Linked DNA regions of Bombyx mori. The protein of the gene in region 1 binds, or shares a complex with, the protein of each later gene. Links are inferred from orthologs where the notes say so. Each region holds a gene or a part of one and is shown on either strand. Other genes may lie near its edges. The genes, in order: translation initiation factor eIF-2B subunit epsilon and translation initiation factor eIF-2B subunit delta.

Evidence for each region.
Region 2: the proteins of translation initiation factor eIF-2B subunit epsilon (region 1) and translation initiation factor eIF-2B subunit delta are in contact, whole or in part, in a cryo-EM structure (PDB 7D46), measured with the Homo sapiens proteins. The link is inferred for Bombyx mori from reciprocal best matches to the Homo sapiens genes EIF2B5 and EIF2B4. Residues at the interface, in NP_003898.2 of Homo sapiens: Arg163, Lys294, Arg339, His340, Glu357; in NP_001029288.1 of Homo sapiens: Arg357, Tyr393, Pro396, Glu397, Lys466, Arg467, Glu469.

Annotation. Positions count from the first base shown.
Region 1 is NC_085119.1:8,976,144-8,989,530, reverse strand, and holds the start of translation initiation factor eIF-2B subunit epsilon, read left to right. Parts: upstream 1-5,669; 5' UTR 5,670-5,817; intron 5,818-6,522; 5' UTR 6,523-6,787; intron 6,788-7,499; exon of another isoform or gene 7,500-7,576; 5' UTR 7,577-7,592; coding exon 7,593-7,691; intron 7,692-7,761; coding exon 7,762-7,886; intron 7,887-8,654; coding exon 8,655-8,846; intron 8,847-9,205; coding exon 9,206-9,389; intron 9,390-9,544; exon of another isoform or gene 9,545-10,302; coding exon of another isoform or gene 10,303-10,596; intron 10,597-12,629; coding exon 12,630-12,874; intron 12,875-12,971; coding exon 12,972-13,091; intron 13,092-13,173; coding exon 13,174-13,387. Other genes in the region: Bardet-Biedl syndrome 7 protein homolog, read right to left, coding at 2,000-2,123, 3,298-3,399. UniProt on the Homo sapiens protein: Acts as a component of the translation initiation factor 2B (eIF2B) complex, which catalyzes the exchange of GDP for GTP on eukaryotic initiation factor 2 (eIF2) gamma subunit.
Region 2 is NC_085111.1:2,894,853-2,907,012, forward strand, and holds the end of translation initiation factor eIF-2B subunit delta, read right to left. Parts: coding exon 11,594-12,160; intron 11,273-11,593; coding exon 11,120-11,272; intron 9,196-11,119; coding exon 9,062-9,195; intron 7,956-9,061; coding exon 7,856-7,955; intron 6,204-7,855; coding exon 6,024-6,203; intron 5,355-6,023; coding exon 5,227-5,354; intron 4,294-5,226; coding exon 4,116-4,293; intron 2,917-4,115; coding exon 2,736-2,916; intron 2,144-2,735; coding exon 1,938-2,143; 3' UTR 1,564-1,937; downstream 1-1,563. UniProt on the Homo sapiens protein: Acts as a component of the translation initiation factor 2B (eIF2B) complex, which catalyzes the exchange of GDP for GTP on eukaryotic initiation factor 2 (eIF2) gamma subunit.

The DNA.
Region 1 (13,387 bases):
GCGTGTTTTAGTACTATAACACTCAGATTAGATTTTTGCGCCGGTAAGATTTAAGATTAGAATTGCTTTACCTTATTTGAATACATGTGTGTCGGGGCACAATGATCGGGGCATAACGGGATACTATCCCGTTTTGCCCCTTCCTCGTCGTTTAAATAATACCTTCTGTGTACCTACTTACCTATCGATAGTATTGCAACCTGGTTTTGCAACCGTCCATAGGCTACGGTAACCGCTTTCCATCGGGCGAACTGTAAGCTTCTTTGCCGACTTAGTGGTATAAAAAAAAGTATAAGTACATATTGTTGTAACTTCTAGATTAGCAAGATATATCGTTGCTTTTCTCATAAAGTTTTTTTCTCAGATACAATGGTTCGCAACTATAAACGAAAAACAGATCGTGGCAAATGGGACCCTGAAGTTCTGGGTCTTATGGGTTCTTAATACCAGGATGGGGCTTCCTCGAGCCTCTGCTATATATAATGTTCCGCCGCCGTGTAAGAAAAGCTTGCGATACTATGGATGACGAGACTGATTCCGGTAACGACTAAGTATGGGAAAAAGAATTTGTGACGATTCAAAGCTGTTTTTACAGCAAAACAAGAAGATGAGTTGGCGCAATGTGTGAATCTATGGAAGCACGGTTAACAGGAAAATAACTTCGTGTAATAGCTTATCAGTTAGCTCAGCGTTGGCAATCATATAGATAGCCCACTTAATGAAGAAACTGGCATGGCAGGAGAAGATTGGCCCAGAACCGACATCAGCCACAAGAGCTATGCATAGCATAGCCATGGAACGTATGTCCCACCCATGTACAATATACGCTCGGAAGCAGATGCGAGATGAACTTTTGGATGAACGGAAGCGGATGAAGACTGATGGACAGAAGACTAAAAAAGATAAAAAACGAATACATAAATTTAGAAATAAGAAAATAAAAAGGACTGAATACAAGCGTCAAGCTAAAAGACTCGCCAAAGAAATCGAATCGGAATATACTTAGTTCATCTTAAGAGGAGGACGGTGACTGCGCCTGCGTCTATTGTGGTTACTTATACTAAGAGTCAACCGAGGGTTGGGCTATCTGTAGTATTTGCACACGATTCCTGTGCCGGAGTAGATGAAGAAGACGACGAGGCACACATTTGTGAACGCTTTCTGCCCGATTAAAATACGTACTCCTTTTGCCCCGTAGCATTTCCTATCTGACCCCATCCATGGGGCAAGACGGGAAATTCGCCTCATTAGGTATCGTTAATCATTATTTGTCAAAAAAAATCTATGATTTTGCATGATAAAATTATTAATTTTAAGAGACAAATGTATAAGCGTTACTTGTTTTCGTAAAGAATTTAATTAAAGAGTATAATTGTCTTTGTACAGCGAGTTTTGTCTTAGCTATCTCATCTTGCCCCGGTCTCCCCTACTAACTTAATAATATCCTGTTTTTGTTGAGATAAATGTTTATGGTGAGGTAAAGGTCAATCGATTGGAAGTGATTTGTATTCTCACCCCGCAGGGTGGATTTTATTTCAGTGGGTATCCCGGGAGTACGGGTTGGTGGCGCCATATATGCAGGCTTCGAATACCCTGCCGACGGATAGACATGGTGTTTCGACGTCCCGTGGAGGCAAGGGGGTAGACAGATATACACTACGCGTAACTTGCCTTACTGCCACCCTGCGACGCCTCAGACGGGGGTCTGCAGGCAGCAGCAATTTAAGCAACATGGGTTTAAGTCGGTTTTACTCTAACGTGCCACTATCTATCACCTTCAACGCGTAAGCGGAACGCTGGCGACTTCCTATCTAACTCAAAAAACCGACATCAACTCCGTCAATGACAATTTTTTTTTGGGAAAGTTATGACGGGTTGATTTTAATTATGTGTGCATTTGAAAATATCGCTGAAGATATGGATCGAAACTACGCCGAGCAACCCTTCAGTGCGGGGTCCAGTAGGAGACTCGGCCTAAATAAAATGTAGGTGCTATTACCGTTTGTAGAAGTCAATTGTACGGCGGTAATTGGTTTGCCTGGCAATGTCTTAAATTGAATGACTGGTTCTTCGTCTCTTATGGTCAAACATTGCAGAACTCCGGTTTTATCCCCAACTACGACCTTTAAAGAAAGCATATCAGTAGAATTATGAAGTTAATTTTCAGAACTGTAGATAAGATCAAATCGTTTGTAAAATCGTTTTTATTTTGTTATATATTAATTTGACTGTCTGTCTCGGAAATTGTGAACTTAATATCTTAAATAAAAGGTATAACAATGTGTTTTTGCATTGCATACATTTTGACAAGATTTAAAATGAATTACCTAACACTTGGTAGGTATATACCAACTGTGTCTGACTGTCCTACTGTGTTTGACTGTGTCTGACTGTCGATTCTGCGATTCCCTTAGACGATATATATATCGTCTATGGACGTCAGAGGACAGTCTGTTGAGTTTTCGCTAATTTACAAGTTCACGAAATACCTACGTAATACTAAGAACTAGTAGAAGTTGTAAGTTAATACCTGCTTATTTACAATTAATGCTTAAATTCACTTTTAGTTTAGTAAATAAATATTGTATTCCGTTTACTTTAGGCTCAATAGCCTAAAGTCCGAAGTCCGAAGTCATTACCAATGTAATGACTTCGGTTTACATGAAATAAAGCATGATAATTGTTGCTTTTTTGTTTACGACGAAGGTCCCAAAAACCTTTTTGAACAAGTTATTAAAATAGTTTTCTCTAGATCCTCATATTTCACCGTCTTTCGCTTTTATTTGTGGGTACTTTCTAGGAATGGTGACTATTATCCGATAAAAATCTCCTCCTCTAAAGGAAAACGAGAACAGATTTCCTAACTCCTCGTCCTGGTAAGCCCGAAAAATCCTTCGGGTAATAACAGGTTTTCAAAAATAAGTTCGAATATTTTGTAATTTTGTAATTTTACTTTTGTATAATGTAATTTTGTCGGGTGTACAGGTTCTGCCGGTTTGACGCTTTGTAGTTTTTCATAAAACCAATATTTATATCGTTTGTTCTTTGTATTTAATGTACATATTTGTGTTTAATAAAAATTATAATTGGGAAGTGAGATATTTATGAGTGAACATTCCCCATCGATAGATATTTGATTGTTTTTTAATTATATGAATGAATCTAACAATATTCTAATAATAGAATTGGTTGATATTATATTAAATGCGATTCACATTATTAATTATTATTGTCTCAAGTTTTAAGTTGTATACTTAAAAACGTTAAGCGTTAAAGCAATTTGTGATAGGTAGGTACCTTCTGTTCCAGTTTCTGTCCTTGAGATGGTAAAATTTTTAGAGTGTCAGGATATGTGATTCCGCTTATAAAGTAGTCAATTCTGCACAAGTCGTAATCCATAACTCTATAATATATGATAATAATACCGGCAACGTCTTTTTCACTCTGCTGACATAAAATCTTTAACATAGAAGGAAATCGATAAAGCCTAGGCAACCAAACGTAAAACAACAGACCTCAAACTTGAACAAGAAATCAATAAAACTCCTGTGTGCTTAGTATTCATTTTTTGAGGTCAACAGAAAGCTTCTTGTTGAAGACTTCTGTGCACTGAACAACAGTGTGCGAATAGAGAGACCTCTGGGATACTTTTCTTTTGACTTGGTTGTAATCCTTTATTAGGTGAGCCTTATGCTCGTCTTTCAACGTTTTCGTCAATGTTCGCACGGGTACGTAAGGACAACGTAAAAGTCGTAAAACATTGCCGTTGCATTTGTCGATCCGGATGCTATTGGCGTCTTGTCTTTATAGACCAGGGTCGACAATTTTTAAAACCAAAAAAAATAATAATAGTATGGAACCCATTAGAAAAAGAGGGGAATATTATAAAAATGAAAGGAAAAATAATTTATATTTATAATAACTAACTTTTGGCCGATTTTCATGTATATTTCCATTATATTTCATATATTTCAAATACCTTTGATGGGTTAAAATTTTTCGTAGGTCACTCAGGTATATAAGTTATCTAAAAATAGTTATAAATAGGCATCTACGCATAAAAATTAAAAAAGATTCGACAATTTTCTCCAAATATTGTAGATGTCTTATTAAATATTAATTTTATGAACTTATTTGTTTGTTAATTACCTAGTCAGGTCATAAGTATTGTCACACAGTAAAAACTTTTCTTTTAGAATGCTGGCCACAAAAAAGTTTATTGAATTCGAATTTCGAATTGTTCATGAAAATAAAAATGTATACTTTTAGAATTTTACTCATTTTTAAATATGGAGTGGACGCTTAAAGAAGACCGTGTTGCAGTTATTGCGTTGCATCGTTGCGGTTACGCGCCAATTAAAATTTTTAACATACTGAAAAATTTGAATATAATCAAAAGATTCGTTTATCGTACCATCAAACGATACAATGAAGACTCTAGTGTAGATGACAGGTCAAGAAGTGGTCGCCCTCGGTCTGTTAGGACTCCAGCAGTGATAAAAGCTGTGAAGGCGCGAATTCAAAGAAATCCCAAACGTAAGCAGAAACTGGTGGCCCTTCAGATGGGGTTAAGCAGAACCACGGTGAAAAGGGTGTTAAATGAAGACTTAGGGCTTCGGGCATATCGAAGAAAAACAGGACATCGTTTGAATGCTCGTCTAATGGACCTGAGACTGAAGAGATGCCGCGCTTTGTTGAAGCGGTACGCGGGAAAAAAATATTTGGGAAATTCGTTTTCGGATGTAAAAATTTTTAGCGTAGAAGAGAGCTACAACAAACAAAATGATAAGGTATACGCACACAGTAGTGAAGAAGCGAGCAACCGTATTCCGCGTGTCCAGCGAGGTCATTTTCCATCCTCGCTCATGGTATGGTTGGGAGTTTCTTATTGGAGCTTAACAGAGGTACATTTTTGTGAGAAAGGTGTAAAAACGAATGCAGTTGTGTATCAAAATACAGTCCTGACGAACCTTGTGGAACCTGTTTCTCATACCATGTTCAATAACAGGCACTGGGTATTCCAACAAGATTCGGCGCCAGCTCATAGAGCGAAGAGCACACAAGACTGGCTGGCGGCGCGTGAAATCGACTTCATCCGGCACGAAGACTGGCCCTCCTCCAGTCCAGATTTGAATCCGTTAGATTACAAGATATGGCAACACTTGGAGGAAAAGGCGTGCTCAAAGCCTCATCCCAATTTGGAGGCACTCACAAGACATCCTTGATTAAGGTAGCCGCCGATATTGACATGGACCTCGTTCGTGCTGCGATAGACGACTGGCCGCGCAGATTGAAGGCCTGTATTCAAAATCACGGAGGTCATTTTGAATAAACTTTAGTGTCATAAGAATCTATGTTTTGTTAAGTTCATTTTGGTATATGAATGGTTACATAATGAATAAACTTGTTTCAATTATTTTACATTAAACATGTGACAGAATTTATGACCTGACTAGGTATAGTAGTATATTTTGATTTGCAATTTTTTTTTATCAATGTAACATGTAGTCTTATGTTTTTCGAGTTATTAAAGTGTAAATTTTAAAATTATAAATTGTATATAATAATAAAATAAAAAAATCGAATTCGAGTTTTTTCGATTTTTTGCATTGTCTGAGAAGATTTACTATAGTAAGATAGATTTTTTTCACCTTCGGAAAGTATGTAGCGATTTCGAACTTTTTGAAAATAGCTGATATTTTGACGGGTGAATTTTCGATTGAAAATTAGGGTGCTTTTTCGACATTAATTCAAAATAAGGTGAAAAGATTCATATTTGTAATGAAATAAATTACAGCGTATTTGGGACATGAAAAGGTAAGTTTTCACCAAATTTCGTGAAAAAAGATTTTTTTTTTAAAAAGATAAAAATAAAAAACCAAAAACTTGGTTTTTTGAATTTTTCACATAAATTTTGAGGATATGTGAAAAAAGTGTAAATACAAAAGTTTTAGATCTTTTTATTACCTACAACTTTGTGACTTTTTTCCATAAGACTTTTAGTTTTGCCGGAAATCGAGAAAAACCGTTTTTTATCCTACACGCTAGGGTAACGCTGATATAGCCTATCAGCATAGGTAGGAACAAAAAACTGTTTGCGTGTATCGACGCAAGTGTCTCCATTTCCTAACTGTATGGATTGTAAAACTGTGATACCTAGAAGGTAGTCTTGGAAGGTTGGCTATGTGAATTACTATAAGAATAGAAAAATATATTATGTGACGGTAGCAATCATGGATCACAAGATATTTGACAGATGCCTGAATCTCGCTAACGATGATGTCAAGATAACTTTGTAATTTAAACAAGCTCCAAACAACATAAACCAACATTAAAATAACCCTCGACCCTATACCGAGCAATTACACCCGTCACATTCTAAGAAAATAAGGGAGTTTGAGATATCGATAGTAGAATATTAGCTATGTCTCCGATACAGATCGGAGAGATAACTTTAATTATTAAGTGAATTAGTTATGAGGAAAACACAGTTTTAATAAAATTATTTAATTCTGTTCTCAGCGTAATAGTTCCCCGTGGCGAGTTGTAATTCTATACTGTCTGTACGATTGGACTGAATACACAGAACTAAAGGTCCTACAGAATGATTTTGGGGAACAAGTTCACAAGCGGGAACGATATTGCCCTAGCTTATTAATCATAATGCCTTTTCAATGCTACAAATTCTATTATAGCTAATGAATAAAGTAGATAGCGAACTTTTGTGAGCAGCATTTATGAAAATGCTCATTCTTGGGCTCAATGTAAAAAAGTTCAAAAATAAAGTGTCAGTAAGCTTTCGTTTTACACGGATACTATTTAATTCATCTCATATCACATTGATTCGTTTCCGATTAAATTCATTTTCTAGTACTTTCTAGATTACATGCATATATTGTTTAGTAAATGGAGATTTGTTTAAGCTGGAATAGCCATTTAAATTATCAGCGAATAGGTATGGAAAAAAAAGATATGTTTACAAGCTATAAATAATTTTAAAGAAAGCCGTGCATTCCAAGACAAATCCAATATCATATGTTCCAAAGTTAATCATCCATCCAAAATTTTTCATATCCATACGTACGCATTTTACGTATGCAATACGTACTTTATTACTCAGTAAGTACCTAATTATTATAATTGCCTATTAAAAATAATAAAATGATTTGTTTTATTATGTCTATATAATATTTCTTCAGGTTTAAATGTGTAATAACGTTGGTTTATTGACTGTTTAATATCTATGAAAGTGTACAAATGTGCAAAAATGAAACAAAGCCGCTGGACTTAACTTCTCGGGATCCTTCAAACAGTCCACTGAAAAAATCTCAGTAAATTACCACCATTTTACTGAGATTAATTCATCCCATATCATTTCATTTAATTTCATCCTAGTTGATTAATGTCTCAAATTAATCATTTTCTTTTCATTTCATAATATCATATTTCATAAAAAAAATATAATATAATAGATAAGGCTGTATGGTATGATACATTTGCCTTTCTATTTGAAAAAATAAAACTACTATTACTAACTTTCTATGTAGCAATAACCTATTTTCTATTTTCTAAAAAGTAGGAACTAGGAATTGATGAAAATGGAAATGGATAAAGAAAATATCGTACAAGCTGTTGTTATTATGGACACTTTTAACAGTAATTTTTCTCCATTAACAGACAATAAACCAATGGTATGTAACCTGTTTGAAATTTGTATATTTATCTGAAACCAAAATAATAACTGAATGGGACATATTACAGGGTTTTCTTGAAGTTGCAGGCGTGCCTCTAATAGATTATGTTCTAGAATCTCTTGCTTTGGGCGGAGTGGGAGAGGCAATTCTGTTTTGTTGTCAAAATGGACAAAAAATAAAAGAACATGTACAGTAAGTTTTTTTTAATAGTACTAGATAATTAAAAGAACTCATAATGTCAATGATGCCGCCCGTATTGAGTTATGAGGACGAAGTTCCAGTTATGTACAATTTAATCTCGTCACATAAAGATAGAAGCGAGAGTTTTGTGTACCATTATCCCATTTGGGCTTACAGTATGCTTTAACACAGGCAAATTTATACATCTTTGGTGGTTTCATTTTTTTACAAGATGTTATTCTGTCATTGTCGTAGTTATTCGTAAACATGTGTTTAGACATATTTCTATAGTAACATTGGTACTTGTCTGTCTGATTTGAACATTGGCAAAGTGAATCTTTTGGTAAGAGTACACAGGGTGTTTCATCCTGTGTATGACTACATTTTTGCTTAAAAATTAAGCATCATTATTACATACATTGACTGTCAATCCATTTTATGTAGTGTATATTCAATCTGGCAGTGGTGTTCCTGTATTATATGTAATAACATATATACTACATATTATGTTATATGTTACATATAATTCAGGATTGCAGATATGAAGCTAATATCTGAAGTGTTTTAAAAAAAAAGGGCTTGCTGAATGTGGAGTTTAACCTAAAATAGCTTAGACAGTCAACTTATTAAGCTTAATAAAAACTTGTGCTTTGAGTGGTCAAATCATTGTTATCATGAACTTATTTTTTATATAGATTCGTAGCTGACTAAGATTTCTATCTTCCCACCCATCTACCTATATTTTCTGTAATCAGATACTAAAATTTATCTATACTTCAGGAAACATCAAGATAACAAGTCTCTGTGGAGTCTTACTATGGATATCCAGATTTTGATGTCAGATACTTGTCAGACCATGGGTGATGTGATGAGAGAGTTAGATGCTGCTGCTTTGCTGAAAGGATATTTTGTGCTAGCTGGTATCAATAGCATTACTAATATGAATTTTGCAAGTCTTCTGGAACAACATAAGTTTGTACAAGCTTCACATATTTTTCTAAATTATAGAACATGCTGACAGATGGAATTTGCATATGAATTAATAAATTTATTGATCTTTAAAAGCATATCATAAATACCGTCAATCAATGAAAAGCTAAATTAAATTTTGTTCAAAATTCACCAATTATAATATTTTACTCAATTACTTTGACAGATATGATACTTTTCATAATAGCCATATATGTTTAAAATCACTGCTTTTTCATGGAAAAAGAGGCAGATTATTTATTGTCTCTCAATCTCTACCAAAAACTTGAAATTCATTATAACTCATAGCTTTTAATAGCAGATTATCAAAGTATAAACCTCTTTTATTCTTTTTACCATAGACAAACATGTAAAAAAGACAAAGGGACAGCGATGACTTTGGTTTATAAGAAACTTTCTTGGGAACACCCATTGATAAGCTCAGACAGGTCAACTTTTTTGGCCGCTAACGAGAATACAAAGAAAGTGTTAGTGCACAAGAGATATAGACCTAAGTCCAAGGAGAAGATAATATCTCTTCCTTTGGTATGTAACCTTTTACAAGTACTCTTATTAGACGTTTTTTCTTTGGTTTCCTGTAGTCTTACACCGGTCACTCACATGCGCACGAATACGCAAACCCGCAAGTGTAGGACGACATTTGCAAATGATTATGCAAAGTTTTCGCTACATTCATGGTTTTCCAAGCTGTGTCGGTTTTTTAACAGACATCAAAGCGCGCGAACCGCGAACCTTCGCGTAGTCGTTTGACCAGTTGCGCCGACGATTGCGAAGGTAACGGACGTATCGCCATTTTCATAGTTCGTGACGTCTACTGTGTAGCGTATCTTCATCAAAAGAAATCCCATAAAAACAGCATGGCTGTTAATGATGTCTGGGAAAGAATTCAAAACTCTTTTTCTCTTCAATGTTCTATTGACGAATTAAAAAGGAGGAGAAATTCGTGAGACATTCGTAAACAAATGTAGGAGGAAGCGAAACGGGTTCGCAAATTGAGTATGCGAACCCATTTGCACAGCCGCTAGGTTTGCGAATGAATGTTTGACGGCCCTTCACATGCGCGCAAATTAGAGGTGGCTAATATAACCATTAACCAATAAATTTACCGGTAAAAAAAATTAACACTTCTATTCGATAAATAAAATTACCCAAAACGGTTAAAAATACCGTTTTACAAAAACACTGCGTGTAGTGGCATAGGCAATTATTGGAAATTATATTTATACAAGTTTCAACTTTATTTCAACACGTAAGATTCATTTTCGCCTTGCAGATGTTTTCAACTTATCATGTAAAAAATATTGAATTTTATGATTTCATTGTATGCTCTATACCCCTCAAAATAAAGCACAATATTTAAGTTGGTGTATTTTACAGTTAATGATAATTTTTTTCGTTAAAAAATTGAAATGAAACGATATTTTTACCGAACGCGAAGATGACGCGATTGGTTGATTTTTTAAACGTAATATTTTGTTTGGTACTTGACATTTTGGCGGCTCAGTGCATCTTTTCTATTATTTTGGTAAAGTTGTGTTTTTGTATTTTAAGAGATTTGTACTTTGTGTTTGTGTGTTTTGACTTTGTTTTTGTGTGTTTGAGACTTTGCTTACTTTGTTGTTGTGGATTTTTAAAGTGTATATCTAATTTAAAATGCCGAAACGCAATGCAGAAATATGGGATCATTTCGGAAAGTGCTTGGGAGCGGAAAAAATTGCAATGTGTAATTATTGTAAGAAAAATCAATTCAAAAATATTGAACCAGCGCACCGCCGTGGTGGAAAATTTGTAAAGAGTTTTTCCCACTAATCATTTCGTACTAATTAGTTAAGCTAATTAGCCCTAAGCCTGTAGCTTCTAAAGTTCACTGAATCGAAAATAAATGTAAGAAACTCTACCATTCAAGTTTAACATTAGCAAAATTAGTTTTTCAACGAAAAGATTTACCGGTATTTTCAACCAATAAAAATATCGGTAATTTTTTTTATCAATTACCAGTTAACAGATAAATAAATTCAACCATTAACGCCATCTCTAGCGCAAATAGTCCGAGAGCTGATTTAGCCCCGCTACTCACCAGCCAGGTCTGCAATTCGGTGTTGGAATATAATAGGAGAGGTATGTGACAAGTTTTCAGCTTGCCTCAAATACCTACCCAAAAATTGGTGCCAGCTCTCCTACTAAAACATTCGTACAATGTACGAATATTTGCGCGCATGTCAGTGGCCGGCATTAGATATGAAGTTGAGCTTACAATATTTATTTTATTATTTCTGATGTTTCAAGTATATTAGTTGTCATGATCACAGATGTTTTTTTTTAGTTATTTGGATTCACTTTAACCTGTAAAGCAAGTTTTAAAAAAGAATTGCCTGAAGTTCTTCAGGCCAATTTTGTTGCCTCAAACTAAAACCAACCATGGTGGGCTATACCCTGGGGTTCCTACATTATATGATGTATATTAAGGGAATTAGTTTAATAACATTGTGGTATCTCTATGATAGCTTTGTAATTAGACCACATGAACTGAGCAAGATCCTAAGGTCTATTAAGTGAAGCACACCTCTGCAGAGTTCTCATGTCCATAAACTGGATTGTGATGGTGAGCTCTCATTTATAGGACAGACTAAGAGACATTTAGTTAGAGTTATGGACCATGTCAAAAATAATTTAATATAAAAAAACTGTGATTTGTCAACATTCTCTGGACAATGGTGCCAACCATTTTATAAGATTTAACAAAATCCAAATATTCTCTATATAAAACATGATGATCCGCAGTATAGTAGATAAGGCCATTGAAATAACAAAAAAAATAACACCTGGGATTTTATTATTATGAAAAAATAACAAAAATCACATATACAGCCAAACCTCAAGACACTGTTAGTACCTTCTATGTACAAAATAATGTGAAGGTTGTTCAATAATTTTATTAAATTGTTTTTAGTTAGGCATATTCGTGAAAGTTAATCTTTAGCACTGAGTCACACAAAGGCCTGTTAATTTCATGCCACTACTGAAACAGTAACAGTATTAATTTAAATTTCATTTATTTCATCCATAAATATATTCATTCATGCGTCAAATTGACGCATGTTCGAAGAGATAGATACAGGAGTCCCTAAACCCAGTGTTGATATTACTTTGCCCCCAACTAAAAATATACTAAAAGTATGGTATGCTTGTGAACCACTGGAATCTTGTCAACGAGTCTGTCCACTATTGAAACTAGGTACATGAGGTTGCAAAAAAAAAAGTAAATAAATTAACACACATTTGTAGCACACATATGTACATGCTGATCTTTTTATAAATCATTACAATGATGCAGATTTCAGTTTTTTTGCTTATATGATAATATGTTCTTCCATTATTGTGTCAGTAAAGTATTGTATGTATGTATCTTTTGAATTATGGTATGGTGCCCTTCCATGCTCGGTCATAATAGGCCCTATTATCGTTAATCTGTTATATTAACTAACTTAAAAAAGGAGGTTATTAATAAGACTGTATTTTTCATGTGTGCTACCTCATATTTTTTTCTTTAAGAAATGATTTTAAGGATATTTTGTTATTTGATATTTGGTGCATCTCACATGGTCCTGTTTAATCTAATTCTTAATTTAATGAACTAATCAAGTGATTGGTAATATTTCTGTTAGAGCAACATATTTAATTCACTTATCTACATTTATGAAATTAATTTTATTTTGTTGCAGTCAGATCTTTTTTCTTGTATTTAATGTATTCTTTTTTTTTCAGGATTTGGTATTAAATAATTCTGAAGTTAAATTACATCACAATCTGGTTGATACTAACATTGCACTCTGCTCACCAACAGTCCCACCATTGTTCTCGGATAATTTTGATTTTCAAACTAGGGATGACTTCATTCATGGCATATTAATTAATGAGGAAATTCTTGCCAGCTCATTATATTATACATTATTGAAATCAAATCAATATGCTGCTGCTATAACAAATTGGAAAACTTATCAAACAGTTTGGTATGTATCTGAAAATAATAATTAATTAATCATTATATAAAATTTCAGATATAAAATAAATTAGATTGACACTAAAAATGTCTATTTTTTGTTACAGTAGAGACATATTACATAAGTGGGTGTATCCACTGTCAATTGAATCGGGTTTGTATTCCCGTGACAAGTATACTCTTACGGGAAATCTTAATTTTGTTGAAAACTCAGCTATGTTGAGCAGGTATGGTAGGAGAATTGTCTTTTGTGAAATATATTTTTGTAATTAAATTTCATAACATTGACCACATCTAATCTATTTATAGATCATGTGTATTAACCGAAAATACATTAATTGGAGCGAAAACGCAAGTACAAGACAACACCACGGTGACAAAATCAATTATCGGAAAGAAATGTACAATTGGAAATAATGTCATAATCAATGGATCACACATAATGAATAATGTAATAATAAAGGACAACTGTAGAATTTCAAACAGTTTTATTGATGACAATTGTGTTATTAGTGAAGGATCA
Region 2 (12,160 bases), on another chromosome or scaffold:
ATTACCTAGTTTTTTTTTTTTCCTACCTAAGCTGATAGCCTTGAGAGGGTATATCACCGTCGCCTTAACTGACGTTGCTAACACGGACCCTAGCGAGAGCCGTGCTTCGCAGAATCTACCACCGGATCGGAAACACGACCCACTGAGAAGATCCGGCGAGAAACTCAGTGGGCTGTGTCAGAGACACAGGTTTCTAGTATTTCAGAACATGCCTGTTTCAAATAACGCAACTGACTTCACTTAGTATGTCAATGTTAGTAGTCACTACTACCAGGTAGTATATTCAGTGTGAGTATACAAGACTAAGGGTTCAGGGTTATGTGGGTATTCATCTCCCTTGCATACTTACTCTAATAAAATATACACATTGGAATTTCAATTCTGTAATATCACAGTGTATTGAATTAGAATCTACCTAGAACTAGAATCAATTCAGCCCAATTGGAAAACCATTCTGGAGTTTTCTGTCTGCTTCATTTACTTACTACTATCAAAGCAATCGCTAAAATGACGCAAAATTCCAGAAAACTACAATATAGTAGTAGGTTTAAAATATATACTGAATTCCTTTTTACTTAGAGCTCCCAAATACCTTTAAAACTTTTGTAATTATTATTATTAAATAGTAGTTGTAAATAAATTTGTTATTCTTTTTCAATAAAGAGATTACCGGTTCTATAATTTTCAACTTACATATCTGTCAGATTATCGAAGTCCTCATATCGAAATATTGGTGCATTAGCTCGCATTAACCTAGTGATGTTTTAGCACCAAACAAACCCTAACGGGTCAAATGACCCGTTTGAACTTTTGCATTGAAAATGCATGCACCATTTTATTGTGTATTAAACATTTGTTGAGTACGTATTTCATTAGAAAAATTGGTACCCGCCTGAGATTCGAACCCCGGTGCATCGCTCAACACGAATGCACCGGACGTCTTATCCGTTAGGCCACAACGACTTCAAAAATGAATATTGTTTCCCATTAGAAGAATCCACTTCGATAAAGCGGTACGACACGAGAATCCTCACATCGTGGCCGCCGGGAACTACATAGGCGATTCTGCGGACCAAATGGTAAACAGTCGACGTCGCCCAAAACACGTAATCCGGATCCTCCCGATCCACTAACGGTGCTTTTTGGTACCACAAGCACCGCTTATCATTCTCATCGAACCCGTCACTTGCGACGAAGGGCTCGGCGAGTAAATTAACCCTCAGACACAGCCCACTGAGTTTCTCGCCGGATGTTCTGAGTGGGTCGCGTTTCCGATCCGGTGGTAGATTCTGCGAAGCACTGCTTTTGCTAGGGTTCGTGTTAGCAACGTCGTCAGGTTTGAGCCCCGTGAGCTCACCTACAAGCTCGGCGAATCTAGAATAACCCCCCGAGGTTACTAGAACAGCAAGGAAAAAAAATATTGAAGAATCTGTCCAATAAATTTATATTTAGGTGCACTGCTCACGTGCACGCCGCTATAAAGTCGTATAAAAGATTCTTAATTTACTTAGATTTTAAGATAGTTCCGAGCTTCATATTTCAAGCGAAAATAAACCATACATATTAACTAATAAAATATATATTTAAAATTCACTTATTTATACCTAAATAAGAAGAAGACTATATCAAGCAAATGTAGATATAAATTTGTTTCAAAGTGAGTAATTTTAATTCATTATGGTGGATATCAGCTTACTACACAATTACATATTTTGAGCATCAAGTTTTCTTTTTTGCTAAATAATATATAGTGACATTTTATAAGTCTGACTTGTTTAGTTTTTTTACTAAAATAAAATTAACCTTTCTAGGTGATAACACGATACTACTTATGGAGATCTGCTTCACATGCGATAATTAAGTAGTAATAGATGACAATAATAAAAATATTGGCAAATATATAAATACTATTAATAATAAACGATTGATTTAGAACTTTATACACCATATTCGGAGAGTTTAAATCTGAGTACAACGGGAGCGCTGGTGCAAGGCAATATGGCAAGTTCTGTGACGACGGCGGTGATGAGGCACGGAGGTGTGACGTCATAAGTCAGGTTCAGTGGTGTTAAGTTTAAATTCGATCTCCAATCTTTTAGTGGTGAATTATCATCCGATTTTTCCAGAAGATCGTCGGGGTCTCCTGATAATAAAAACAAATTAGGATTATTACTTATAATTTCTACATTATTATTTAGTAAATACAAATATGTATAAATAATAAAAATATAATTAACGGTTTAATCGCGTTTACGACCTCGAGGTGAACACAAAGGAAAATTATCTAAGTTTTTTTTAGTACATGAGCCGATGGCATGAGGGGATAATATGGCGATACCCTCGTACCAGCAAAAAATACTTGAAGTATGAAAGTATATTATTATGTCATGTGCTGAACTCAAAAAACTTGAACACTCACAGAAAAAAAATATAGCACAGGAAAATGATTCACATCTTATTAAGAATAAAATAATACTTTAACTTCAAGGTATTTTTTTTATTTATACGATTTTGTTCCTTATTCGTCATGAAATACGGGTTGAATTCCTATGCAAGTAAATTTCAAATTGGAACACCGGGGCGTCTCAAGCAGTACGTATACTTTCAAGTACATATTTTTAAATTTAGAAGCACTGGTATTCAATTTTGCAAGTATGTCTCATCGCTAGTCTAGAATAACCCCTCGAGGTTACTAGAATAGGTAAAAAAAAAGCGTGCACAGACACGGTGTCTACCTATCTGGTTGTGCATGAAGGCGTCGGTGTAGAGGCTGTCGATGAACTTGTGCGTGTGGCAGGCGACGAGCACGGGGCGGTTGCGAGCGCGCGCCGCCAGCGCCACGCCCGCCGTGCCCGCCGCGCTCACCACCGCGCCGTTGGCCAGCAGCGCGCCCGCGCCCAGCACCACCTTGCTCACCTGCACACCGACACACCATCAGATATATTAACATACTTATATATATATTATTGCTTAGATGGGTAGACGAGCTCGCAGTTCACCTGGCTTTAAGTAGTTATTAGGAACTTACGGTGGGCAGCGGCTCGGCTCTACCCCTGGCATTGCTGAAGTCTATAGGCGACGGTAACCACTCACCATCAGGTGGGCCGTGTGCTCGTCTGCCTACAAGGGTAATAAATTAAAAAAACTCATAGACATCTACAATGTAAATGCGCCACCCACCTTGAGATATAAGTTCTAAGATCTCAATATAGTTACAACGACTGCCCCACCATTTAAATAGAAACATATTACTATTTAGTGTTTCTTCAGGTTTAAATGTTGTAATAACGGTGGTTTATTAACTGTTTAATATCTGTGAAAGTGCACAAATGTGGGAAAATGAAACAAAGCCGCTGGATGTAACTTCTCGTGACCCTCCAAAACACTTCACTGAAAAAATCTCAGTAAATGATCACCATTTTACTAAGTTTATATTTCATACCATATCACCTCATCTCTTTTCATTTTATTTTATCCCAGTTGATTAATGTCTCAATTAATCATCTTCATTTCATTTCACTCCATATAATCATTTTTCATAAAAATATGAATATAAATTAAAATAAGACACGACTTAAAGGTCTTAGTTACCAGGTCATAAAATCCCTTAAAAAATTTATCAGATTTGACCATCTGGCTGGTGTTCTGTCCATGTCGCGCTTGCTTTCTATGCGACCCAAAATAATGAGCTTCTCTAATTCATGTCTGGGAGACCGCATGATGTGCCCGAAGAAGCTCTTAACACGTTCTTGGCAGATGGCAGAGAGTATTTTTTTGGATGTTTAGCTCTATTATTATAGTGTCCGATTTAACGTTGAAGCACCACATCCTCGGTATTTTGCCCGGTCATCGTTCCCCTCTCCCAGTAAATTAACCTACAGACACAGCCCACTGAGTTTCTCGCCGGATCTTCTCAGTGGCTCGCGTTTCCAATCCAGTGGTAGATTCTGCGAAGCATTGCCCTTGCTAGGGTCAGTGTTAGCATCACTACGGTTTAAGCCCCGTGAGCTCACTTACTAGTCAAGGTTACGCTGATATAGCCTCTCAAGGCTATCTATCAGATTAGGTAGGAAAAAAAAGGTATTTTGGTATGAGCATGAGGGAGTAAGACTCACGGTCTTCATGACATAGTTGACGGCGGTGAAGTCTACGTAGGTGCAGGGCAGGCCGCGCGCGCACAGCCGCCGCAGCATCTCCGCGGCGTCGGGGGACACGCGCGAGCCCACCACCAGCGTGCGGAACTGCAGCCCCGCCTCCCACGCCTCGCACAGTATCTGCTCGATCAGCGACGAGCTGGGGAACGAACGTCGAGTTGTAGTCGTCGCGGACTAAAGGATAAGACGTCCGGTGCATTCGTATCGAACGATGCACCGGTGCTCGAATCCCGCAGGCGGGTACCAACTTTTCTAATGAAATACGTACTTAACAAATGTTCACGATTAACTTCCACGGTGAAGGAATAACATCGTCACTGAACTCCTCATAAACGGCTGGACCAATTTGAATGAATATTTTTGAAGTTATACTTCTTTAGGCACGTTATGAAAAATTGATGAGTGAAATTTTTCGGATGAGCGCGCACCGTGACACAAAATTAACAGAATGAAGTTGCCCACTAAATCGCTCATTACAATACGACCGACGTAACTTGGCGAGTCTGAATATAGCCGCAGGTGAACTTTCGCGCATATACACTCGTAAAAAAGTGTTATTAGCGTTCATTTTTTAGTAATATAAATGACAAAATTATTATTTAATATAATTCATACTAAATATTATTAAATTATTAACGTTAAATATTGATTATTAATTATTTAATATTTAAAAAAAAAAAAAAAAGTATAACTTCTTACGCGCGTACATAAGTACACGCACCCTTTTTTATATTCGTTTGGGTGGCAAATCAGCCCCGCAGGTGGCGCTGCAATCGGTACCTAGGTTATTTATCTTTCCTAGAAATAAATTATATGACAAAACAACATTTTCCGGGTCAGCTAGTATATATATATAAAAATAAGTTGCTGTTCGTTAGTCTCGCTAAAACTCGAGAACGGCTGGACCAATTTAGCTAGTTTTGGTCTTGAATTATTTGTGGAAGTCCAGAGATTGTTTAAAAGGTAGACAAATCTTCTATTTATCTTTTATTTAACGATTGAGGCACTACGAAGTCTGCCGGGTCAGCTAGTATTATATATATTCTAACGCCATTACACCCGTAATACAGACCATCCATAAGTGAGTATAGTGTCGCCATTGGAGATCTTGTTTCTAACGGCGATGCTGATCGCTTCTCCCGCCATTTCGATCTGTTCTCTGATGTAGCGATCGATCTCTTCTTGAAGGGTTTTTTTGGCCTGTAGAATTAAAATAGATATGTTATAAGTATGTGAATTGTTGGTAAATAAGTTGAAATTGATAATTGAAAAAAATAAGTAACAGTTCGAACTTGCTATATTAAAATTGGCGCGCTATGCTTTTGTCAGTAGCTATTTCACAACAGCTTATCTAATCATCTTAGAAAACTTCAGTATTTGTTGGTTAGAACAACATTTTGAATTTAAGTTTTTTTTTTATTGCTTAGATGGGTGGACGAGCTCACAGCCCACCTGGTGTTAAGTGGTTACTGGAGCCCATAGACATCCACAACGTAAATGCAAATATAGTTACAACGGCTGCCCCACCCTTCAAACCGAAACGCGTTACTGCTTCACGACAGAAATAGACAGGGTGGTGGTACCCACCCGCACGGACTCGCAAGAGGTCCTACCACCAGTAAAAAACTGCCCTTGTAGGCAGACGAGCATACGGTCCACCTGTTGGTGAGTGGTGACCGTCGCCCATGGACTTCAGCAATGCCAGGGGCAGAGCCAAACCGCTGCCTCTCGAAAATTCCTACGTAACCGCACGCGCCAAAACTGCACGCACGCCACGCTCAAGCATCGCTTTGCTCTCACTAATCTGCTTGTTTTAATCCGTGCACCTCCTCCTACCTGCATCCGATATACCGTTCTCCGAGTACTCACATCGAACTCGTCGACGTTGTTGGGTAGCTGCGCGAGGTGGTGCCGGAAGAACTTGACGGCGTTGATCTGCGAGGCGCAGGGCTCGCGCGTCGTCCACAGGAACTCCAGGCTGGAGGCCAGGTGCGACTCCAGGCCGCGGGAGAACTCAGTCTTCGCTGGCAGAACGTAGTCCCTCACCATCTGCACGGGATAAATCAAAGATGCTCTTGTAGCTCTTGTCATTGGTTTAAAGGGTTGAGTAACCGTTGTAACTATACTAGAACTTATACTCAAGGTGGGTGGCGCATTTACGTTGTAGATGATGGGATAGAACTGACAAGGCTGTATGGGCTTAGATCCCCTTGCCTTGCCTAATAAAGATACGCTTTTATTAGCTTCAGAGGTATGTCTGTTTGTAACGGAATCTTTGAACATGATTTTGACCCCCTTCAAAATGTCGGATTAACTCGAAACGAAATTTGGTATAGTTATTAAGGACCGATGACAATTCAATAAAAAAAATATAGAAAAAATTTAAATCCAACTAAAAAATAAATAATAGTTTAAAAAAACTTAAAAAAAACCGCTTTTATAGAAAATCCCACTAAAAAATAGACAATAAATCTTAATAAATATGAAATAAAAGCGTATATTTTTTGTTTTTTTAAACTATTATTTTTTTAGTTACATGCTTAGAATTCAACCTAAAGTATTAACATACTGTTACGTCGGCATTATTAACGCCATCTATCGCCGAATAGCAGAAACGAATATCAAAGGAACTAGTAACATTGAGAACTCTCGAGAAATACAACGCCATCTATTGTGTGATAGTGGAAATACACATCGTATATTCGACTCGCCCAGAATAATCTCGATAAACCTAGGGATATTGCATCGACTATAAAAGCGCTGCAGGGATGGCAGTTAGTAATCGAATCTACTTGCGAACTAAGCGAAATAGCGAACGAATCACCTGAAGCGAAGCGGAAGAAGTGAATTGAGAATTTTAAAGTGTTCGTTAAGTGTTCTAAGTGTTAAATAGAGTTTTGATTTGCACTTTCATTTAATTTATAGTGTAATTGAATAGTGAACGTTTTTTTGGATTGTAAGCCCGCGGGTTAAGTGCCACTGTTCTGCCTGTTTCTGTGATAAGGCAGTCGTGCGTTCCGATTTGAAAAGCGAGACGGTCGTTCTACCACCGAGACCTCACGTCCGGAGGTGGGTCACAGCATTCACCCTGTCGCGAGGCAGTCGTGCGGTCCGGTTTGATGAGTGAGCCGGCAGTTCTACCACCGGGACCTCACGTCCGGAGGTGTGTTACAGCATTCACCCTCTGATGTCTATGCGTACAGGGCGTAAACTACAAAAACGTATTTTTTTAAGGGATTTTATGACCTAGTAACTAAGACCTTCAAGTCATGTCTTATTTTAATTTATATTCTTAATTTTATGAAAAATGATAATATGGAGTGAAATGAAATGAAGATGATTAATTTGAGACATTAATCAACTGGGATGACATTAAATGAAATGAGATGATATGGGATGAAATATAATATCAGTAAAATGGTGGTCATTTACCGAGATTTTTCAGTGGACTTTTTGGAGGATCCTGAGAAGTTACATCCAGCGGCTTTGTTTGATTTTCCCACATTTGTGCACTTTCACAGATATTAAACAGTTAATAAACCACCATTATTACACATTTAAACCTGAAGAAACACTAAATAGACAAAATAAAACAAATCACACAACTTCACTCCTCACGTTTCCGCCAAAAAGTCTTCAACAAAAACGTATTTTCAAGAATGTCCACGAATTGCGATTTAGCATTACATCAAGATACATACTTTGTTGAGGGCGTCCAGCAGAGCGATGCATCTGGCGTTCGATCCCTTCACCACTCGCGACGACAACTGGACTCCAAGTTTCACGATGGCGGGGTGTAGGCTGTAAGTTAAGGATACCTTGAAAGTCACCTTAAATTTTTATTTATAATTTTTTTTTATTACAGCGAAGGCAGCTTGCATCTATACAAGTTCCGAACATAAACATTTGGGCTGTCGGTCTACCGAGCAATGTCGCCCGCTCGGTGGAAGATTTTCCCTTTGTCGTCAAACCTCCCAAAATGTCATATTTGGCTGGTCGTTATTGTATATGGTATGGTTCGGTTACTTATTTTGATCCCAAATAACATCACGCGATGTAAACATCTATCTGGCACATTGCGTAGGTATATGTAAAAGATTTTTTTTTCCATTTTAAGGACACATGTATTTTTTTATCTAAATAAAATGGTCATATAACAATCGTTCTCGAACGTTCCGATTTATTGAGAAGCAACTTGTTTCAAGAGAATAGATGACAATTAACCGGACAATTCATATCAGTTGACCTAAAACAATTTAAAGTGGATTGTTTTGTTTATTCCATCGCATCGTTTGTCCTAGTGATGAGATGCCCTGACTGTTGCGCTGCAGAGTCCGAGTTCGATTCCTGCTCGGACTCAGCACCTTTGCTATATGCACTTAGTATTTGTGGCTTGTTGTTGTCTGTTATGGCTTGTCTTTCATTAAACAAGGTTTATGGAGCCTACCGGTCACCGTCCTCGCCGCACCCTACGCTTGCAATAAAGGACTCGACGAGTAAATTCACCCATAGACACAGCCCACTGAGTTTCTCGCCGGATCTTCTCAGTGGGTCGCGTTTCCAATCCGGTGGTAGATTCTGCGAAGCTCTGCCCTTGCTAGGGCCAGTGTTAGCAACAGTCCCAGTTTGAGCCCCGTGAGCTCACCTACACTCAAGACGAAGCTCAAATGTGGAGCCTACTCAGCTGTAGACAAAAGCTTCGCTGTGGTACGTGGTGTCGCTCACATCTATGAACGATGGTAACCACTCACCATGCGAAGGCCACAGGCTCGGCTGCCTATTATTTCAATAAAGAAATATTAAAACAGCAAACTGCAATGATGATGATATGGTGATCATCACTGCCAAAACGTAGCGAGGCAGTTGAACTTACATCCCACAGATATCCATTTACTTACAGCACTTACTTGGAATTAATGGGTATCTTCTTCAAAGGATTCTTGTCAAACTCAGTGTAAAGATGCTGAAACCAGTTGAAGCGCTGTGCGAGCTGCAACTTTGTTTTCGACTTCTCCAAGGTTTTTGATTTAATAACTTTTTCCTGTAATAAAAAAAAATCGTAAGCACCACATTGATAGCCTTGCTCGTATCTGCAATGTTGTTTTATAATCTAAATAGTCTGGCCATAAATACTGTTACAATTAAAAATAAACAAAATATTACATTTTAATTTGGAATCTGTCATTTTTATATGATTGCTCATTGAGATTTCTCATTTTGGCGCCAATACATTGTACAATATTTTGCTATATTAAAATGGAGTGGGGAGATAAAGAGAACCGAATCGCTGTGATTGCATTACACAAAGTAGGTATGAAGCCAAATGCAATTTTTAAAACTCTGCATATGCTTGGGTATTAGTAAAATGTTTGTGTACCGGGCTATTAATAGGTGCAATGAGAGCTCTTCTGTTTGTGACAGAAAAAGATCTGGCCGTCCACGTAGTGTTCGTACGAAAAAGGTGGTCAAAGCAGTAAGAATTCGAAGAAATCCTGTCCGAAAGCAAAAGATAGTGAAGCCCCTTAACAACACCATGTTCAATAATCAAGAATGATCCTTCCAGCAAGACTCGGCGCCAGGTCATAAACCTCGGTCTGCGCAGTCTTGGTTGGAAACGAACGTTTCGGACTTCATCAGAGCTGAAGACTGGCCGTCGTCTAGTCCCGATCTTAATCCGCTGGATTATGATTTATGGTCAGTTTTAGAGTACGGCTTGTTCTAAACGCCATGATAATTTGGAGTCCCTTAAACAATCCGTACGATTGGCAGTGAAAATTTTTCCCATGGAAAGAGTGCGTGCTTCTATTGATAACTGGCCTCAACGTTTAAAGGACTGTATTGCAGCCAATGGAGACCACTTCGAATAAGCTTTTTATACTTTAAACTGTTTTATATTTATGTATTAAACTAACACACTGTAAAAGTAATAAATGTTTTTTGCAATAGATTTTTTTTTCCTTGGTCTCAATATTTATGGCAAGACTAGGTATATTGAAATTTCACAATTTACAATAATAATACTTGAACATAACATTGTCAATAGAGTCTACACTAGGCCGTCTGTATTTTAAGAAATATAATTATGAAGTGTATATATAACACAGTTAGAGAATTCGGAACTGACCTGAGATGAAGAACAAATGGATTTTAATTAATGAGAATATTATGCTGCATGATGAACCTATTGGCCATTTAGAATCTATTCAGGCAATCATGCTTTTTGGTTTGAAGGGTGGACAGCCATTCTAGAAAACAATTGTTATTTTGACCTCACATCCTAAACCTTAGGACCTAAGGTGACTGGTGGCATTCCTTTCCCATCTCTATCAGCTTTAATCACCACTCAACCAGCCAAGTGAGCTGTAAGCTTGTTTACTAATTTATGCTATAAAACAAAATTCACCAACTATTAACATAATGTGAATGAGCTAGTGGTACTGATTGTGTATTTTATGACCTGGTATCTAAGACCTTTAGGCCAAGTCTTATCTTAATTTATATTCTTATTTTTATGAAAAATGATAATATGCGTTGAAATGAAATGAGATGATATGGGATGAAATATTATTATAATCTCTGTAAAATGGTGGTAATTTAATGAGACTTTTTCAGTGGATCCCGAGAAGTTACGTTCAGTAGCTTTGTTTGATTTTCCCACATTTGTGCACATTCACACATACTAAACAGTTAATAAACCACCGTTATTACACATTTAGACCTGAAGAAACACTAAATAGACAAAATAAAACAAATCATACAACTTCACTCCTGGTGTTTTGGCCAAAAAGTCCTGATTATGTATCTATCTATAATTTCAAACTACCCTCATTTAGCTTACAAAATGTGATGTCTGGGATAGTGAACTATAAGAATGGACATTGCATTAAGTTCAATCTCCGCTATTCGATTTAGTGTCCTAAAAAGCAGTTTAGGTGTTAAAGGCAATTTAAAAGTCTCAAAATTACCTCTTTCTTCGGAACATCCACATTTACTGTAGGAGCTTCAAGTTTAGGCTTGACTACTTTTTTTTCGGCAGCTTGTTTGGCAGCTCTCTGAGCCTCCTGTTTGGCGCGTCGTTCAGCCCGAAGTTCTGCTTTACTCTTGCCTGTCTCTTCTTGCTACAATATCAATATTGTTAGTAATGTCAACACTGTTTTCGAAACTATATCTATTAAACGAATATTCAAAAGACAATATATTATCACAGTTACTCTGAGTTTATATAGTGCAACATAATATGGAGTTTATATATCTGTTATAAATTTTATTGTTGTATTTTGTTATTCAAGTATGGTAAACAAATTTTAAGCCTCTTGTTCTAAATAAGCTTACATCAAATATAATTTCAATTTCATTGGGAATGTCATTCAAGGAATTTAGAAGCAATGTTAATGTAGTTTAATATCGAAAAAGGATGACTATTTCATCCACATAATTACCTTTTTACCTCCCAAATCCAAGGCACTTACTTTTGTCGTAATTTCATTAACCTCCTTGGCAACACTAACTATGTTTTTTAAAGTTTCAACAACATCTTTTACAGTCATATCTTCATTTTGTTTCACAGAATCATCTTCTTTAAGTTCTTTTTTTACAGAGCTTTGCACATTACTTTCACCATCGGCAGCTCCTTTTTTCTTTAACTGTTTGGCAGATTTCTTGGCAGCTCTATCTGCTTTGATCTGTTCTCTACTAGTACTTATATCTACAGCATTAGGATTTATTACAACAGATTTGTCTACTTCATCTGTGCTTTCTACTTTAGGTTTAGAATTTATGTTGTTTTCATTAAGATTCTCTATTTCTTTTGTCAGTTGAGGATTTTCAGTGGTCTTGTTGTTTACTTTTAGTTTGGCAGCTTTTTTTGCCTGTCGAGCAGCTTTAATTTCATCTCTAGACTTTGGTGGGATTTCATTAGAAGACATCTTTTGTAATATACTTTCGTCAAAATCTTTTATGACTACTGAGCGGAGGGCATCCTCTACTTTGTATTCTTGTTTATTATT